Linked DNA regions of Schizosaccharomyces pombe. The protein of the gene in region 1 interacts with the protein of each later gene in a pairwise test. Each region holds a gene or a part of one and is shown in the gene's direction. Other genes may lie near its edges. The genes, in order: sgo2, bir1 and pds5.

Region 1 (5,951 bases):
AAAAGAGGTTGATCCCTTACTACACTTTAAAATAATGGATTTTATAAAATCAGCAGCTTCTTTTATTGCAAAAGCAGGTTCTCAATTCCCATATGACTTAAATGAGAAAATCCCTCTTTCTTCTAATTCTGTATGGACACTACAAACGGGATCAATTAGAGTAAGAGACAACGCTTTTCTTTATTCTAGTACTTACAATTTTAATGTAGGAGTCTGCCCAGCCGTGTAGCGTTTTCTCTATTTCTCTGTCAACTCATCCTGAATGGGCTGAACTTGCTGACCGAGCTTGTGAGACAATGAAGACCCTTCGTCATCCTTGTATAATCAAATATCTAAGTACTTATAAAAGCGTAAGTCTAATCTAAGCCTTTACATATTTTTCCTATTTACTAATAGTTCAGTCCACTCACTTGTACATTGCAACGGAAACTGTAAGACCTGTCACAACTGAACTGAATGAACTATCTGCGGAAATAAAAACTTACGGCCTTTGGAGGGTTTCGGTATGTAATTTGAGTTCAAAATGTGGATTAAAACTAATTTAAACGTGTTTAGGCTGCATTGTCATTTCTCAATGATAAAAATATTGTTCATGGAAACCTTCAAATGTCTTCTGTTTATCTTAATAGTGCAGATGAATGGATAATAGGCGACTTTTTCTTAGCAGGTGATTCACCACAATTTATAAAGGATAATCATGACAAAATTCTGAACTGGAGTCGGTTGGTTCCGTTTGAAATTCAGTCTTCAACATTAAATAGTGCTTCATTCATTTACTTGGATTCTTATGAATTGGGAAAGTTCATTTCTCATCTTTATAATGGAACGCCAGGGGACTTATCTCAGCGTGGAAACATTCCAGCCAATATATTTGTTTCTGCAAAAAAACTGTTGAATGTGGAAGGAAAGCAAAAGTTATTAGCTTCAGAATTTCTAAAACTTGGCGAGCGTCCTGGGGGGTTTTTTCGTACACATTTGATTACGTTATATGAACTTTTGTCCGAGGTTCGAATAAACGAAGAGGAAGATAGAGTGAAATTAAAACAACTTCTTTCGTCAAAGCTAGAAGTAATTCCTAAAAACTATATACAAAAGGTTGTATTAAACATCCTCTTTCTACTATTATCGATTGACACCCATTCGGACGTCGTTGAGCTTCTATTCAAATGTGCTCAAATTGTAAAAGGAAGACCGGATATAGAAAAAGACTTTGGAGTACCGTTATTGTCTCTTTTGAAACAACAAAGCGTTCCCATACGAGGCTTGCTACTTTCCGGAATCATTAACAATCCCGACGTGCTACCAAAGAATATATATGAAGACACTAGCTTTTCAGTTTTCGCGAACCTTGTGCGCTCCAATTCTCCCACCTTAAAAGAACATGCTATTGTTGTTTTTTCCATTATAGCACCAAAAGTAAGCCATCTTATCTTACAAATTGCTAATTAGTATACAGCTTTCGAAGAAAACATTGAATAATGAACTACTACGAAGCTTAGCGGTTGTCCAAAATGACCAACATCCTACTTTACGTACCAACAGTACCATTTGTCTAGGTAAAATTGCTGAATATTTAGATGCCAGCGTAAGACTAAGAAGAACTAAACGTTAGGACTTTATTTTTAACAGATTTAGGTGCGAAAACCCGTTTTAGCTGCTGCTTTATCACGTTCTCTTAAAGACCCATTTGTTCCTGCTAGAGAGGCAGCCTTAAAAGTACTCCTCTCAGTTCAAAATTACTTTGATACAAAGGATGTGGCCATCAAACTTTTCCCATCGGTGGTGCCATTACTAATTGATGAAAACGAGTAAGATTTTTTTGAACCTGTATACCACTTAGGAATTACTAACTTTTTGACGTTATTAGAGGAATACGAAGAACAGCTGAGGATGTCACTGACCAATTTTTGAGCCGTATAAAAAACTTTAATTTAGGGGAAAAAGAAAATGTTTCCGCACCGGCAAAATTTAATGGTTCTTTTTGGTCCAAATTTATTCATTCATCTTCTGCTTCTCCTTCGCCTTCTATCGATATGAAAAAGGAGTCGCTTGAGTTAAAAAATGATACCACTGAAATAAAAGAAAAAAAAAATTCAAAAAGTAGAGTTGTTGGAAACACTGAAAACTCTAAGGATGAATTCAATAATCCTCTTTTTGAAACAGAGGAACAGATAGACGAATCTTGGATGGAAAACTGGAATGACGAAGAGGAAACAGAAAATAACGTAGAGGAAAGTTGGGGGTTATAATTTGATTGAATTTAATTAATAATTTTTCGTGGTCAAGATTAATTCACGACTAAATCACATGTCGACTAAGTACTCCATGTACTACTCGTTTTGACATATTTCAATCAAGCTTGATTTTTAATAATTAATATTTTTAATAGCTAATTATTTTTCTCTTTGAACATTTATTAATACCACTGAAAGGATTAGTGAATGGTAGTTCTTTCTTTAGTTATCTATCTATTCGTAAATTCAAAGTATAGTAAATGTAAAAGGATTTTAATGTTCTTTTCAAAGAGTGTATCATTAGTAGTCAAATAATTCGTACTTCGACTATCCAGCACCTCTACACCTTGTTGATAATGATACTGCTGTACAGCCGCGTTTAAGTACTAAACCTCCACCGGGAACGTGGTCAATGAAGTACATCGGGATTTTCTATTTATAATGTCGAAAGCATCTCTTTCCCCGAACGTAGAAGACTGTACGTGATACTTATATTAATCTCAACTGATGAATTAGTGAAAAAAAAGCAAATTCGACAGTATAAGGAAATTATACGGTACGCATACATTTTTGTTGGAATTGAATAATTAATTAACACATACAAAGAATAAGCAAGGCACAATCAATTAGAATTAAAGAATTGCAGTTAGAAAATGAACGGTTGCTTTCGGAAAATATCGATTTGAGGACTACAGCGATAAACTTGGAAGAGCAACTCGAAACCGTGCAAAACGAAAACGAAGAAAACAAAACAAAGTTAGCTGCATTACTTAATCGATTTCATGAAGAAACAGATAATTTTTTATCAAAATTAAGTCTTTGTCAGCAAGAAATACAAGGTACGTGTTTGAATTCATATCGTTTTTAGCTAATTGAACACAGACACCTTCAAACCAGTGGAGGCTAACTTAGCTTACGATGTCGATACGGATTCTGAAGACCTTGACGAGGTAAGTTGAATCGTATTATGTTTTTCAGATATGTTTATCTAACGTCTGAAAGGAATCCGTCGTGAAAGATACCGAAGAAATAATTGAGCAAGCTCAGCATGATGTTTCCTTACGAAATTTAAGTGGAATAGAGGATGAAAATATAATTGATGACGGAGAAACTGCTATAAATGAACAAAAAAAAAGAGAAGCTAATGTTTTTTCCGACACGCAATCAGCACCTCAGCTAAAATCCGGCAAAGCCCTCCCAGCTGATTTTGAAAATCCTTACAATCTATCCAATTCGAAACCTGTAAATAATAATAATGAAGATAGAGTTGAAGCGGTTACTTCTGAAAATAAATCTATCGATTCTGCTCCTCAGGAAAAAAATCATGAATACGAAATCGTTAGTCCAAAATCATTATCCAACAAAATTAATAATCAAGCAGCTGCACAAAGAAGAACCGAAGAAGATAATGCAAATGGAGTTGCTCAAGAAGAAAATGAGGGTTCACAAGAAGCTCATTTTCATAGCAGAATACAATCTGATACAGTAATACAAAGTACACCCACTAAACGGAAATGGGACGTTGACATTCAAAATAAACAAATTAATCTGGCTTCTGCAGCTACCAATGTTACCGGTTATGTATCGGAGACCGATAGTCGCCCCAATCGCGCAAACTCTTTGGATTCTGCTGTCCTTCTTGTGCAATCTTCAAATAAAAGTAACCGAAATGGGCATCATATTTCAGATCCTAATTTAAATAGCTCCATATCGTTGAAGTTTGCGCCTGAAGATACTGCGCATAATTCATTAACTTCACAAGAGAATGTTGGGCCTCAGGTTACGACGACTTCTCTGTCAAATATGACTGTTGCTGAATCTCCTCGTACAGACACTCCAAGGGAAATAAACGGGTTAGTAGACTCTTCTGTCACTAATGGGAACGAAAAATTTTCTGTAGAAATAATGAATGACTCTAACAAAATTGGACTGAATCCTAAATCTTTTACCGACGAAGAGCGGGAAATTTTAACACTTTTTCGAAATCCTCCCATGAGACTGTCAAGTGAACCTCCATCTTCAAATGGATTTTCAATAGCCCATCCCAATAATTCTCCGTTACGTCCGCCATCGCTACAAGGAATATTGAATGCTGAAGATCGACCTTACGAAATTGAGCCGTCACGTAGCTCCTTTGCTACCAACGATACGGGCTCCTATAATAATTTGGAACTTCTGTCATCTGTAACGAATTTGAAATCCCCTAATGAGAACGATCGTGTGACGAAAACTCAGTCGCGAAGAGAAACAAAAGTGAAAAGGCGAAGAAAAGCTCGGATTCAAGAAACTTCTGAAGAAAGTACAGTAGTCAATGAGCCAAATGAAAAACCTGATGGAAGGAGCCGAAGGGAACGGAAAAAGGTTAATTACGCTTTGCCTGGATTAAGGACGAAATTAAGACGGAATTTCGATTTACCTTCAGATCATGTAAAAGCTAAAAAAACGAGACGTGCTCCTAAGAACTCTGAGAATGATTCAGCTACCAAAACAGAAACCGCAAACATTACTTCTGAAGCACCCACTACTTCAGAAGTAACCCTTGAAAACTCCGAAACCCTTAATTTGTAATATTATGTAATTAAATACCTTTCGACATCGTTTAGTTGGTTCAGATTTTTTAAGTGGAGGTATGCGTCAATTTGAAATAAAAAGTCAATATTTTGGGAGTTAACCTTTGGTATTTCATATTACTTCTTTCTTTGTTTATTCACATTTTGTTCTTGTCATTAACGTTATGTACAAATATATGGTTTGGTTAGTTAAATACAATAAACAGGTGTGTAAATATATTATAAAATTACTTAGCAATCCTCACAAATTCAATTTACTATGTACCTTAGCACATTCATCAAGTAGTCCATTTCTAGTGTACCTCGATCGCCCTCGGTGGAAGTACTAACCTACGCAACTGAGTCTAATAAGTCAATATTCTTATGTTTTGTATATAACAAACCTAATTGGTTTTGTGTTTTCTCTTATGTTTATTGTTTTAAGTTTAAGTTGAACTTTCAATCCTTTTTTTGCGATTAGGATCATTGCTTTACTCATCTATTGGGACCAATGTTTAATAACGGCGATAATATGTCTCGTGAACGTTTTTCTTCCAATCATTCAATGCAAAGACAAAAGACTGAATCTCGAGCAAATTTTTCTCGAAGATTAGTCCCTTCCGACTCAAATCGGAAGCCTGTACCTAATGGCGCGTCCAACAGCCCTTTGTCAAGAGATGCAGCGTCTCATTTAATTAGTACAATCGAGACATCGATAATGAAGCTTTTAGTTGTAACAAAGGAGCTTCTTGAAAGCTTAACAAACTGGAGCAAAGGTACAGTTAATGATAGTGCTGTTTCATCCGTTTATGTTACTCTAATAGGGGAATTCCTTCAGACAACCAAGTCCTTTCATGAAGCTGGTATTGAAACTGCAGATTTAAATGATTTTCCGCTAGAACTCAGATCAGTCCTAGAGCAAACACTGGAAAAAACACCATCTTCTGATGCTTTGGAGACCAATCTTCCTAACGTAAGGGAGCTGGTTATGCACCTCCTACAAAGCTTGAAGTATAAGCAATCTCTGGTTAAATCCAGATTAAATCAATCTAGGTCAAATTTGCCTCAAATGACCCGTGAAGCGAATGATAACGATGTTAATCGCCGTAATAGTCGTGGTTCTTCCCAAGGAAGCATATCATCATTTAGAAATCCTGATTCGAGAAAG
Region 2 (7,002 bases), on another chromosome or scaffold:
CTAGCGGATCTTCCAATCAAACACACGTGGTTGTAGAAGCAAATGCTGTTCCTGTTTTTGTAAGCCTTTTATCTTCTTCTGAACAAGATGTACGCGAGCAAGCAGTTTGGGCATTAGGTAACATTGCTGGTGATTCACCCATGTGTCGTGATCATGTTTTGCAATGTGGAGTTTTGGAGCCTTTGCTTAACATAATCGAATCTAACAGGCGTCTTAGTATGCTCCGCAATAGTACTTGGACCCTGTCTAATATGTGCCGAGGCAAAAATCCACAACCCGATTGGAACAGCATTTCGCAAGTTATCCCTGTTCTGTCGAAATTAATTTATACCTTAGACGAAGATGTTTTAGTTGATGCCCTTTGGGCCATTTCCTATTTATCTGATGGCGCTAATGAGAAGATCCAAGCCATCATTGATGCAGGGATTCCTCGTAGGCTTGTTGAACTTTTAATGCATCCTAGCGCTCAAGTACAGACTCCTGCTCTCCGATCCGTAGGAAATATTGTTACAGGAGATGACGTTCAGACCCAGGTCATCATTAATTGTGGTGCTTTAAGTGCTTTACTTTCTTTGTTAAGCAGTCCACGCGATGGCGTTCGTAAGGAAGCCTGTTGGACAATTAGTAATATAACGGCCGGTAATTCTTCTCAAATTCAATATGTTATTGAAGCTAACATTATTCCTCCTTTAATTCATCTCCTTACGACCGCTGACTTTAAAATCCAAAAGGAAGCCTGCTGGGCCATTTCCAATGCCACATCCGGTGGCGCTCGTCGTCCCGACCAAATTCGCTACCTTGTAGAGCAAGGCGCAATCAAACCTTTATGTAATTTGCTGGCTTGTCAAGATAACAAGATTATCCAGGTTGCTTTAGATGGTATTGAAAATATTTTGCGAGTGGGTGAACTTGATCGCGCGAATAACCCTGATAAAATCAATTTATACGCCGTCTACGTTGAGGATGCTGGTGGTATGGATTTGATCCACGAATGTCAGAACTCATCTAATTCGGAAATTTACCAAAAAGCTTACAATATTATCGAAAAGTTTTTCGGTGAAGAAGACGAAATCGAAGAGCTTGAACCAGAAACCGTCGGTGATACGTTTACATTTGGAACTACACAAGAGCCTGCCGGCGATTTTCAATTTTCGGCGACTAATGCCGAAGATATGGCTATGTAATGATACTTCACATACATTATTCATTTATGCTTGTTTAGGTTTCGTTCTTTTTTAGATTGTTCATTTTCATAAACATCGAAGTGGCTTCATGATTTTGGCTGTGGTCCTGTGGTTTATAATATCGTTAAATTATTTCATTGAGCAATTGAGGATGCCGATTTTTTCATTTACCTTTACGTGTATGGCGCGATTGTTATTAGACGAGATTATTACATTTTAGGAGGTTTACCTAGACATACATTCCGCAGTTGTCACTCTTCTCATTTTGTTATATTGTTGTTTAATGATTGTGCTGGAAAGTTGAACATCTTGTACTTGTTAAATTATTTCTCAAGTCCGTCCTGAGTGTGCGTGTCGAAACGAACTTTTGTTTACTTTTTTTCATTCACTTTCTAACCAACGAATGGTTTATAGATCGTGGTTATTTTGTGAGTTTATTATTTGTTTTATTGACGAAACACAGGAATCATTCAACAGTTTTGGTCTTTGTTGTCGATTTAGTTGTAGCTTTTGGCTGCTCCACTACTAGATACAGGTTTTGTACCTTTGAAACAACATGGGACTAATTCAATTAATTTATTTTACATTGTCTTCATGATTGTACTTCCTCTATTGCTTAACTTTTATTTGAGGTTTTAGGAAGTTCAATATTTCCACCGCATTTGTCATCCTCTTTTCAACTTTTTTCTAATGAGACAGCTGATTCATCATTGTATTCATAACTTTGACCATCGCATCGAAAGAGGAAAATGAAATCAGATTTGTCTTGTTGATATGCATAGTTTCCTTTGAATAGCCATGAAAATGTAGCCTTATTCTTCTTTCACGATGCTCCATACTTTAGAGTTGGAGCTTTAATATTATTATATGTAACAATATTAGTACCAAACTATGATACATTACTTTGTGCTAGCAAAAATCTTCTAGTTAAATTTTGAATTTATTAACAAAGATCATAAGGCTGACATTAAAGACAATAATTGAATCTTCCTTACTCAATATAATATCTAAACCTAGTCATCTCGAAAAATTTGTAACCAGTGAACCTTCCATTTATTAAAGTCTGCTATACTACTTAACGACATTTTACGCAATATAACGACATTGTTCAATTACAGTAAACTCGTGTGCCCTAGCAATCTACAAAAAGTAAACATTACCCATATACGCCTTGCGAGGCGACCTTCCCTATCCTATGCATTTGGAAGTATCTGATATTGTCTAAAGACAATAACCAGAAGTTTTAAAAAAATTAATTTTATAGTTTTAAGGATCGGAAGTCGAAATTTGGTATCTAAATTTCACTTGTTGAAGCTTGCTCAGAATGAAACCGATAACGTCTTCTTCTAAACGCCGATGGAATCGGTTTCGAAGGGAAATGTGTAATTACTCTAAACGACTTGACACTTTCCAGAAAAAAAAATGGCCGCGAGCCAAACCGACGCCAGAAACTGTATGTTGACGATAGAGTTTTCATCTGTGTTGCTAACAAGAAAATAGCTTGCTACTGTCGGTTTCTATTACAATCCAATCTCTGAATCTAATTCTGAAGAAAGACTTGATAATGTTACATGCTATATGTGTACCAAGTCATTTTATGACTGGGAGGATGATGATGATCCATTGAAAGAGCATATTACTCATAGCCCCAGCTGTCCATGGGCATATATTTTATCCTCAAAAAACAATCCAAACCAGAACCCCCAAGCTGCAGCTCTCACAAAATGTCGAGAACAAACTTTTGTTGATAAAGTATGGCCGTATACCAATCGCCCTGATTATCACTGTGAGCCGAGTGTAATGGCTGCTTCTGGTTTTGTATACAATCCAACTGCTGATGCTAAAGATGCAGCTCATTGCTTATATTGTGATATTAATCTTCATGATTGGGAACCGGATGATGACCCTTACACCGAGCACAAACGCCGTCGTGCGGACTGTGTGTTTTTTACATGGAAAGACCCAAATAGCTTATCTCCTACTAAACTGTCTTTTTTATCTACGTCGAACATTGACCCTGAAGACTTGACCGAGGATAATTCCATTCTTCCCGTTTCTCCCACCCGAGATTCAACAAAATCTCATAAAACTTTAAATTTCTCCCCTAGTAGAAAGAATAATCTTAATGCACGTCCTTTAACAATGTCCCTTTATACTAATACCTCTGAGGAGAAAGACTCACAACCCACCCGTGCACCACAAAGTCCAACGAAGCCCGTTTTACTTACGGCTCCAAGGCGAAAAAATAAATCTCCAAAAAAATCAAAGCCAGCAGTCTTTAAACCTGTTAAGCCAATTTTTTCTGATGAAGACGAAGATGACGACGACTTGACCGCCTCTCAACCCTTCTCTAAAGGGATATGTAATGACTCTATGCAAGTAGCCAAAAAGAATTTTACAGAAGAAATTCCACTTAAAGAAGATGAAAAAGATAATGAGCTGGAACATCTTGTATCACCAGCTACATCCGTCCACACAACTGTTTCTGACATAACTGGACATCAATCTGTAACTGATGAAAGTGATGAGCAAAATAATTGTATGTCTACGCCGCCGAAAATTGAAATCGAATCAAAAATTGAAGAAGAAATATCTGTGGTTTCCAAATCAAAGGAAATTTCGTCTTCTGTTTCTTCTGTTGGTAAAGAGCAAAATCATACAGAAAAACAAGTTGCTATCGAAACTCCGGAACAGCAGAAGGTTGAAAAAGAAGATGAGCATTTAAATCTTCAAGGTTCGTTCATAGAGGAGTCCACAAAACAACCAATCTCTTCAAAGCCATCAACTTCATCTCCCGATATGACTGATGCTGCAACAGGAGGTAGAGTGTCTTCTTCAAGCTTCAGAGATAAAATATTACAAACCAATTTTTCACCAAGGAGTACAATAGATTCGTTTAGCAACATTTCAAAAAAGAGAAACTCGGAAGAAGCAAATGATGAAAATGACGAGACCAATTTGAAAATACCAATTCCTGAAAAGAAGAGAAAATTTCAAGAAGTTTTACAATCTAAAAACATTTTAGTTTCGTCTACTGAGGATTCACATGAACCAGTAAAAGTTACAGAGGACAGCCAAACTGCCATTCACGTTAGTAAATTTGAGGATCTTGAGAATAAGAGTATGGAGTCTGAACAGTCACTACAATTGCTTTCTGAATCTGAAAATGATGACAAACCTTTAATTGATCTAATTCCTCTCTTAGCAATTAAAAGGAAGGATAATCTTGTAAGCGGAGTTTTAGAGAAGGGAAAAAGTACCTCAACATCAAAAACAAAGTTTGATACATCAATAGTGGACTTTATAGAAAAACCAAAAACTGAAATTAGCGAAGTGCTTCCTGAGGAAAAAAGAAAGGCCATTTGCGATGAGTCCCAAACGGTTAGAGTTTCTATAGATAGAGGAGTGACCAAGACGAGAGACGTATCAAGTCCTGTTTCCGATGAAAAAAGTGAAAATGTTAATCATGAGGAAGCTAATTCTGGTCATACTGTCATGAATGTTCATTCAAGCCTGGATCCCCAGCCGATCGTACAACCCAATGAACTTGAATCAGGAAGTTACTTAAAGGATCTTCCTGACAGAAACGTCGGAAACTCCGAAAAAGTGACATTTCAAGAAGATGACATTAATTCTCCTAAGCTACAGAGCAAGAACAATCAAACCGTTGAAGCTGTTAATACAGAAACTTCTGATAAATTGCAAGAAAAGGAGGCCAACCATGAATTAGAAAATATTGAAAAGATTGAAGAAAAATTGACTGAGGTAGACAAAGTCTCGTTAAGTGATGCTTTTCCTGATCAAGAAATCAAAAATTCTAGGACTTCTGTACAGAATGGTACTAGATCAGTGTCGAAAAATACACCTGAGAAGGAAACGAAGGTAGATAAAATCGATAATGTAAGTAAAAAGGATGTTGAAACTTCACCTGGTTCTTGTGAAACCTCTTCAGCTTTCGCTAAAACTTACGCTGAGAAAGAAGTAACGAGTATAAATTTGCCAAGTGTCCGGAAGCCTTTAGATGAATCCTACTATGACCATTCGATCAGTCCATTTGATCCATTGTGCCAATCTTCATTTTTGGCTCCTCAAACTCCTGTCAAATCAAAACATGCTTTGCCCTTAGTTGAAGCAAATGCACCACCATGGGAACCCATAGATTTCTCGAGTCTATTAGAATCTCCAGTACCGAATCCTGTAGAGCCAAACAAACTAAGTGAAAAAGAACTGGATATGACCGTTGAGCAGTGGATTAAATTTATGTATGCTAAATGTGCAAAAGAGTTTGAAGAAGCCTGTGAAGAAAAAATAGAATGGTTACTGGAAGAAGGTAAGCGGGCGGAAGAATACATACAAAACTTATAATTTTACATATTGTGTTTCTGTATTTATGGACCGTCTCGCTTTAAGCGAAAATGTTGGCGGGCTACATTTTAAAGTAATGTGAACTAAATTTGTCTGAATGCACTGTCAGCGTCCTTTTCTTTCTTTTTCTTTTATGTTTCTTGTTTTGTTAATCGGATCCTCTTATTATCTGTATTTATATCAACACTACGCTAATCTGGTGATGTAGTCTTAATAATTCTTCTTATAGTATTTATTTTTTTGGCAGCACAATATACAAATATGGTACTATATTTGAGTCAATATGAATAGAATGAATTAAACAACAAGATAGTGAAAGTAAAGTATAACGAACGTTGAAAAGAACCGGAAGCATTACCCATACTACTCAGCTTCGACCTTAATTTCAACAGAAGATGAACCACCAATTACAACCCTAAATGTACCAATAGCATCTTCTTGAAATACCGCTTCACCCAGTTTAGTATGTCCAAGCAAGTTGGAAGTAACGGCTGAAATTCGAAGTTCGTCACCCAAACTCCATTTGACCGGAATCTCTTCGTTCCATGAGGGAGACGGGCCTTTCCGAGATTTGGTTTTAAAGCTGTGGTCTTGATTGTCTGTAACGATAATCTTTATAGTCTTATGAGGCATATTTTTACCTTGACCAACGTATACTTTATACTTTTTCTGTGCCAATTCAGGTGCTCCCGTAGTCTTGTCAATAGTGCTAGTTAAGGCAGCGTTTGCAGACTCAGGTGCAATAGCCGGTGGCACAGAAGCAGAAGAAGAAGCTTCCTGGGTTGTCGTGAGATCAGAGCGAGATGGATTCTTTTCCAAGGAACGCCTAAACATGCCCATTTTGGAAATTCCTTTTGCGCCCGAAATTATATGTTTACCAGTTCCAGTGACTCCATCAGCAACCCCCGTTACAGCTTTACTACCTACCGAGCCAATAGTAGTAACACCTGCGAGAGCTAAACCTCCAGCAGCTCCTACGCCGCCAACTACTAATTTAGCTCCCTTATTAGCAGCGTGTAAGAAATTATCTGCTAGTGTGACATCCAGTACTGCTTTGCGACGATGCCATCCAGGTACAAAGCGCAAAGATGCATTGATTGTACCAGTCTTTGAGTCCAACTTAATCGATTGCTGAGACTCAACGTTCGGTTCAAGCGATAACAAATCAATATTACTCGTTCCCAAAACATCTGGTTTTTCACCCATGTCCCAATCATAACAAACCAATTCCAAAACATCCAAAACTCGATTTTGCACTACAATGTCAGCCTCTTCATTCCAGACAGGATTTAAGTTCTTCTTAATCACTTTGCTTTTAAATGCACTTTCACCATTCAACTTCAACACAACAAAAGGATCAGATGATCGGATGTCGCCAATTGGTAGGTTTTGTCCATCCTGCAACATAAAGTGAAGAGAACCGCTGTTGATATAGCTTTCCATAGGATTCAGT
Region 3 (7,317 bases), 1.8 Mb from region 1:
CCTTTACAGTCTACGAAGCTCCCTGGAAATTCTCTTACTGTTGGTGAATTATACCAAGAACCCAAAAGTATCCAGCTGCCCGAATTGTCTGTTTCACGGACTACTTATTCGGCTCAATCCTCTTCTGTCAAAAATTGCAACGAACGCATTCCCTCTGCTAAAGCTCTAAAAAAGCAAAAGCATTTAGTTCCGGAAAACAAATCAAAATTGCAATATGTATGGCAGAAAAAAGAAAGCCTCCCTTATGCTAACCTTACTTCCGCAAGTAATACGCACTTTTTTCTGTCGGAAAACCAGAACGACACTTCTGAACGGTTGACCCGTACTTTGAGAAAAAGCACAAAAAACTATACGTTTGGCTCTTATATATTGGGAAGGACAATCGGTACCGGCGAGTTTGGAAAGGTTAAACTTGGCTGGCCTTTACCAAAAGCCAATTCTACTATTCACCGCTCAACACCGCAAGTTGTAATTAAAATAGTTTTGTCTACGAAGCAAAACTGTCAAACAAGCCGATTGATGCGAGAGGTGGCCATTTTAAAAGGTTTGGGTAATAATCACCCCCATATTGTAAAATATTTGGATTTTGTAAAAACTAAACATCATTTTGGTATAGTACTAGACTATGTTAATGGTGGTGAACTTTTTGATTATATACTGGCGCGCCGAAGACTTGAAGATTCGGTTGCTTGCCGACTGTTCGCACAATTAATAAGTGGTGTTGCCTATTTACATTCTCGAGGAGTGGTACATAGAGATCTGAAGTTGGAGAATATATTGCTAGATACTAATCGAAATATCGTAATTGCGGATTTCGGCTTTGCGACTACTTTTGGGCACTTTAATACTCTCAGTGAACACTCATTGCCCACGGAAAAGCCAGATTTATTTAGTACATCATGTGGATCGCCTTGTTATGCGGCCCCTGAATTAGTGAATTGCAAGTCTGGAATGTATGCTGGCACACAAGCAGATATTTGGAGTTGCGGTGTCATTTTATATGCAATGTTGGCTGGGTATCTACCATTTGACGATGATCCACACAATCCAAATGGAGAAAATGTCCCTCGACTCTATCGGTATATTTGCAGTACTCCTTTAATATTTCCGGAGTTCTTTAAAAGCAAAGCTCGCGACATTCTTAAAAAAATTTTAGTTCCTGATCCAGCAAAACGTGTCCGAATGTCAGCAATTATGAATCACGCATATCTCCGGTCTCATGTGTCTCTATTTGAAACGTATAACGATGATGAAGCGACCTCACTGCGTCCGTCTCCCATCCGTTTGCTTTCTCAAAAATCTTTAGCTAGTGTTTCTTCAGTTTCGTCAATCAGCACTTACTCTTCTTCCATTGAATTGACTCCTCAGATCACAAAAACTTCATTAAATCGAGAAAAACCGGCATTACATGGCAGCATCAATCTTAAACACTCAACGAGGCCGGTTGTACCAATTGCAGATGGTATCTATGCTTCTACTACTCTTCATCCAATCGATAATGCTAAAAACCGCTTGGTTTCTTTACTGCGCCGTCCCAAGCATAAGGTTAAGCATGCCAAAGTTGAAACACGTGAATCTCCTATGAAAAATAAGCCAACTAAGAAACAACACAAGCGTGCATTTAGCATGTTTGAGAGGCCCACTTCTCAGAAAGCCCCATTGTCACCAGTAGAAAGCAAGATTAACCTTATGGTTGCTCCTAAACGTGTATTAAATTGTGCTTCAGATTCTTTAAGAGCTTTATTAGCAGGAAAGACGGATAAATCTTTTTGGGGTTCACGTATACCATTCTTGTTTAATAAATTGAAATCCAAACAGAAGGCTGTATCCAGCTCCTTCAATACGGAAAACTCATTTTTAATTCTTCAAGCAGTTTCGCCTTTAACTTTTGGAGGTTGTTTCAAAGAAGAAAACGCGTATGGGCAGAAGAAGCAGCACATGAGACACGCTACCGTTTTTTAATGTTTGCGTTACGATATTGTATATCTCAACAATGCATGATAATTATCAAACTGCCTGTTTCCTATATTAGTTTTTTAAAAAGATGGCTCTTCGACTTTTTCTTAAGAAAAGCGGTTTATATGGTTATCAATTATTAAAGCTTGAATTGATTGTTTGACAATGTTGAACAATGGGTTTCCTAAAAAAAGACGCTTTAGCTGATTTTTATCGTTTATCAGCGTGTATATTACTTGCCTTGTACTTTACAGTTTCCGCTTTTCATCTTTATTCTAACTTTTTATTTTAATTTTTAATTTTTTGGTACAAGCACCTTTCGTTCTTTAAACTACTTTTAAACTATTAAATTTCTTTCACTCATATGTCCTTATATCTAATTCACTCGTTAATAATATTTTATCATTACCCTTGAGTTATACTTATTAGTAAATAGTGTAATATTTTAATTACAATAAATGGAACGCGTTCTTTTACGCGTCTCTTCTTTAAGCAAGTACATTGCGAGTCTAACACGAACGTAATAAAGAGTTGAGCACCACATTTTGAAATCGCATCTTTCAAGCTTCAATATTGCGAAGTACTAATTAATAAAATCAGCCTATGGCTCTTATGGATATAGAGCATTGAAAGTTTACTGCATTTGTCATTTATTTGTTAAATACCCAAGGTGAATAGTACAAAAGCGTGCAAAAGCCAACTTTTGCGATGATAAAGTTACAGTTTCAAAGAAACATTGTCCCAACACATGACAATCCGTTAACGACTTCCGAGATTTTAAAACGACTACGTGATTTACTAGGAGAGCTTACTAGCCTATCCCAAGATACTATCGACCGTGACTCAGTATTGCCAGTAGCACGATCATTAGTAAATAACAATTTGCTCCATCACAAAGATAAAGGGATACGCTCTTATACACTTTGTTGTATTGTTGAATTGCTTCGTTTATGTGCCCCCGATGCGCCCTTCACTTTATCACAATTGGAAGATATTTTCCAAGTAATTCTCAAAATTCTTAGTGGTCTTATGAATCAAGAATCTACTTATTATCCACAAATTTACGAGATATTAGAGAGTTTGTCGAACGTTAAATCTGCAGTTCTAATAGTTGATCTCCCGAATGCTGAAGAATTCTTAGTAAATATCTTTCGTCTCTTCTTTGATTTAGCGAGAAAGGGTACTACCAAGAATGTCGAGTTTTACATGCTTGATATTATTAACCAGTTGATCAATGAGATTAACACCATTCCTGCTGCTGCCTTGAACATACTATTTGCTCAACTAATATCAGGAAAGGGCGTAAGGCAAACAATTGGCTCTTCCGATTCTACTAATCACGGTCCAGCTTTTCAACTAGCGAGAAATATTTTTCATGACTCAGCAGATCGACTACAAAGATATGTTTGCCAGTATTTCTCAGATATTATATTCGATTCAAGAGATTCGCTTTCTGACTCCATGACTACTCCAGAATTTATATTCTCGCACAATTTAGTTTTACAATTATGGAAATATGCACCAACCACGTTATTGAACATTATTCCACAATTCGAAAATGAATTGCAAGCTGAACAAACTAGTGTGCGACTTGTGGCGATAGAAACTGTTGGTTTGATGCTCCAAGACAACGCCATATGGTCCGATTATCCTAGGGTATGGAGTGCATTTTGTGGTCGGCTCAATGATAAATCAGTTGCATGTCGTATCAAATGCATTGAAGTTGCTTCCAACGCTCTTCAGAATTCATTGGCTACTTCTGAGATAATTGAAAACGTAGTTCAAATGCTTCAATCAAAGTTGGCCGACACGGATGAAAAGGTGCGGGTTGCTACTCTTAAAACGATCGAACAGTTGACTTTCGAAACCTTTAAAATGCAATTTTCAGTACAGGCTTTGAAACTCATGGGTGACCGTTTACGTGATCGTAAACTCAATGTTCGTTTACAAGCAATTCGGACACTAAGTCAAATTTATAATAGAGCATATCAAGACCTTATAGATGGTGTGGAATACTCAATACAGATGTTCAGCTGGATCCCTTCATCTCTTTTGGAAGTATTTTATGTTAATGATGAAACAACTAATGCGGCTGTTGAAATTTGTATGGCTGAACTGGTCCTACAATACCTTAGTTCTGATACGCAAACAAGGTTAAACAGGCTTTTCCTTTCAATAAAGTATTTTAGTGAAAAAGCGATGCGAGTTTTTATTCTACTTTTACAAAGACAAGTTAAGTATTCGGAACTCTTAAATTACTACATTGAGTGCTGCAAAAATTACAATGGAGGTGTTATGGATAATGATGAAGAGTCAATTACCAACAAGCTTAAGAAGGTGATTGATATCATATCATCAAAAAGTTCTAATCCTACATTAACAGAAGCCACTTTCAGAAAATTTGCGGAACTTAATGATCGTCAAAGCTACAAAATGCTTTTACAAACGTTTTCCATTAAAAGTGAATATCAAGTTGTTTTAAAAAGCATAAAATATTTATTTAAAAGGGTTTCTGAAACGTTGAGTACCGCAAGTCTTGAATGTTTTAGAATATTCGTTTACCGTTCAGCTCTGTTTGCTTTTAATAAAAGCAACGTGCATGAAATAATTCAATTATTAAATGAACCTGTAAAATACCACAATTTCCTTAAGCCGTCGGAGGCTCTTTTACAGCATTTACCGCTAATTCATCCCAACATATATGGAGAGGTTGTTATAGAAGTTGAAAATATTATAGTTTCTTCGGGCATTGAATCGGATCCTAAAGTAATTAAAGCTCTTTCCCAATTCTCCAAAAGAAAAAAAAATTTTTCTATACAAACAACAACTGCTGAAATACTACGAAAGTTGTGTCTACATGGAACACAGGAACAAGCCAAACAGGCAGCGACGATTATCGCTATAACGGAGACGAAAGAATTCAAACTCGATATGATAACGAATATCGTGGAAAATTTGGAGTATAATGGAGGACTTCCTGTACGGCTTATGACTTTAGGACAACTATTTCTATACACTTTAGAAGAGGTAGAGAAGGTTGCTGACCAAGTTACAGAATTTTTAGTAAAAAAAGTTATACAGCGCTTTCCTGAAAAATATGATGATACGCATAATGATGAGGAATGGTGTACTTACGAAAAATTAGATAATCTTACCATGTGCAAAGTTTTAGCAATTAGGGTTTTGGTTAATCGACTGAGGGCGGCGGCAGGAGGAACCGAAGCGTTAAATATTGGAGCTCCTATCATTAAGCTATTGAAAGTATTGTTAATGGCTGACGGTGAATTAAGTCCGTTCAAGAATACTCCCAAAATTTCTCGTGCTTATTTACGTCTCACTGCTAGCAAATATTTTTTAAAGTTATGTTCCATTCCTTTTTATGCGGAACATATAGATTTTAGTTCTTACGTTCAAATCTCCTTATTATGCCAAGATGAAAATTTTGACGTGAGAAATTTATTTTTGACGAAGCTTCAGAAGCAGCTGCAACTTAAAAAGTTGCCAATTAGTTATTATCCTTTATTGTTCCTGACTGCTGTTGATCCGGAAGAGGAGATCAAGACTAAAGCGTCTATATGGATACGTTCTCAGGTTGCTTTTTTCCAGAAAACCCATGATTTTACCATGGAATATGTAGCAACATATCTTATCCATCTTCTCTCTCACCATCCAGACATATCTTCGATAGAATCAGAGAACTCGCTTGATTTTATTGCATACATTCGCTTTTACGTTGACACTGTTGTTAATAGTGAGAACGTCCCAATCGTTTTTCATCTAATGCAACGCATAAAACAAAGCTATGATGTTATTGAAGATGGAAACAATTACATTTATGTGCTAAGCGACATGGCTCAGAAAATATTGCAGGTGAAATCCCAGAACTTTGGATGGAGTTTGACTACGTATCCAAAGCAAATTAAATTACCTTACGAAATTTTAAGACCAATTCCCTCTATAGATGAGAAAAAGAGAATTTTCAATAAAATCTTCATAACGCCTAAAATGGAAAGTCAGATTGAACATGCTATAAGGACACCAGTCTCATCTTTTGCGAAACAGACTACCAATAAGCACGCAAATTTGAAGCAAAAGAAGACTCATAGCTCAAAGAGCGATAAAAAATCGTCTAGAAGAAGGAAAAACGAAAAAAGGAGAAAGCTAAATGAGCAGAATCCTAATATTAGGAACGTGCCAGAACGAAGTAGCTCAAGATTTCAAGGGATTCGTATAAATTATTCGGAAGCACCGTCTTCAAGTGAGGAGATAAGCGAAGAAGAGGAGGAAATTAGCGAAGAAGATTTTGATGAAATAGAGGATTTATAAAAAAGGCTTATTTGGATGCGAAATACCGATACTAGAACACTTACCCAATATTACCAATGAATTTTCAATGTTAATTAGATAAATTGCTATCTTTTTTGTTAAACAATCTATGCTTGCTAATTGCCTAAACTTTTGAAAGATGACTCCATCACATACATGCCTCCATAACTTCTGCATCTATTAATTTTTTTCATTCCTAGTAATATAATAATAAAAGTTGCATTTTTGAGTTTTTTTACGCTTTACAATTCGTAAAATCTAATAGTGAGATTGGATTAGCCGCTGTAGTATATCTTAATAAAGCATGGCTGGGCGAACTAATTACGGTGACCGCACAATATATTTACCTACAACCAACACCGGTGTTTGATACTTAGGGGTTTGAACTTTCTAGGAATTCAATAAAGTGAAGCAAAGCTTTACGATTAATTATTTTTTGTGAAATAGTATGCCCACCATTAAGTGTGTCGTAGTAGGAGACGGTGCTGTAGGAAAGGTGAGTTGATGTTTACGGAAGGTGAAGTTAAGCAATGCATAAAAAAATACAAGAATTGCTATCATCTAAAATGAAGTTTCTTTTGTCTATACATTCCCCTTTATTTCTTTCTTTCCAAAAATTGTTCTTTTGAGTTTTACACATACTGACCGTTTGAATGTAGACCTGTCTGCTTATTTCCTATACTACAAACAAGTTTCCTAGTGACTATGTGCCAACTGTATTCGATAATGTAAGTATAATTAGTTGTTTATGGAATGAAGTACTTGGTGAAGTTTTGTCCCCATATTAGAAATTTTTTACTATTCAAATGTTCGGTCACGGAAAATTTTGATATAAGGCTTTTTGTCAAAAAAAGGCTGAAGGATTAAACAATGACTCAATGTATTTATCGATTTTATCTCAGAAACTATTGAAAGTTTAATAATTTTTTTTTATCCGATGCTTTTTTTTTTCCACACTAGATCTAAAGACCGTAGGAAGCCTTATCTCGTAAGGAATAAGATGAGGCGACCACTTTCTTTCCCAGGAAGATTTGG

What was found.
Region 2: the proteins of sgo2 (region 1) and bir1 interact in binary tests that used the Schizosaccharomyces pombe proteins (3 or more experiments, as listed by UniProt).
Region 3: the proteins of sgo2 (region 1) and pds5 interact in a two-hybrid assay, tested with the Schizosaccharomyces pombe proteins (one study listed by BioGRID).

The regions. Positions count from the first base shown.
Region 1 is NC_003424.3:3,711,512-3,717,462, forward strand, and holds sgo2 (shugoshin Sgo2), read left to right. Parts: upstream 1-2,630; 5' UTR 2,631-2,675; coding exon 2,676-2,712; exon of another isoform or gene 2,713-2,750; coding exon 2,751-2,790; exon of another isoform or gene 2,791-2,840; coding exon 2,841-3,073; exon of another isoform or gene 3,074-3,116; coding exon 3,117-3,184; exon of another isoform or gene 3,185-3,236; coding exon 3,237-4,802; 3' UTR 4,803-5,074; downstream 5,075-5,951. Other genes in the region: protein kinase domain and HEAT repeat protein Ppk3, read left to right, coding at 35-160, 210-350, 402-503, 556-1,416, 1,457-1,585, 1,636-1,808, 1,868-2,249; bud6 (actin-interacting protein 3), read left to right, coding at 5,295-5,951. UniProt on the Schizosaccharomyces pombe protein: Involved in chromosome cohesion during mitosis and meiosis by preventing premature dissociation of cohesin complex from centromeres after prophase, when most of cohesin complex dissociates from chromosomes arms.
Region 2 is NC_003421.2:544,655-551,656, reverse strand, and holds bir1 (survivin Bir1), read left to right. Parts: upstream 1-2,357; 5' UTR 2,358-2,508; coding exon 2,509-2,637; exon of another isoform or gene 2,638-2,684; coding exon 2,685-5,549; 3' UTR 5,550-5,852; downstream 5,853-7,002. Other genes in the region: importin alpha family nuclear import signal receptor adaptor Cut15, read left to right, coding at 1-1,184; tricalbin, C2 domain protein (phospholipid binding) ER-plasma membrane tethering protein Tcb1, read right to left, coding at 5,913-7,002. UniProt on the Schizosaccharomyces pombe protein: Component of the chromosomal passenger complex (CPC), a complex that acts as a key regulator of chromosome segregation and cytokinesis.
Region 3 is NC_003424.3:1,909,378-1,916,694, forward strand, and holds pds5 (mitotic and meiotic cohesin loader subunit Pds5), read left to right. Parts: upstream 1-2,470; 5' UTR 2,471-2,664; coding exon 2,665-6,282; 3' UTR 6,283-6,520; downstream 6,521-7,317. Other genes in the region: serine/threonine protein kinase Ppk1, read left to right, coding at 1-1,962; Rho family GTPase Cdc42, read left to right, coding at 6,731-6,778, 6,942-7,010. UniProt on the Schizosaccharomyces pombe protein: Required for the establishment and maintenance of sister chromatid cohesion during S phase. Prevents their formation until eso1 is present. May also have a role during meiosis.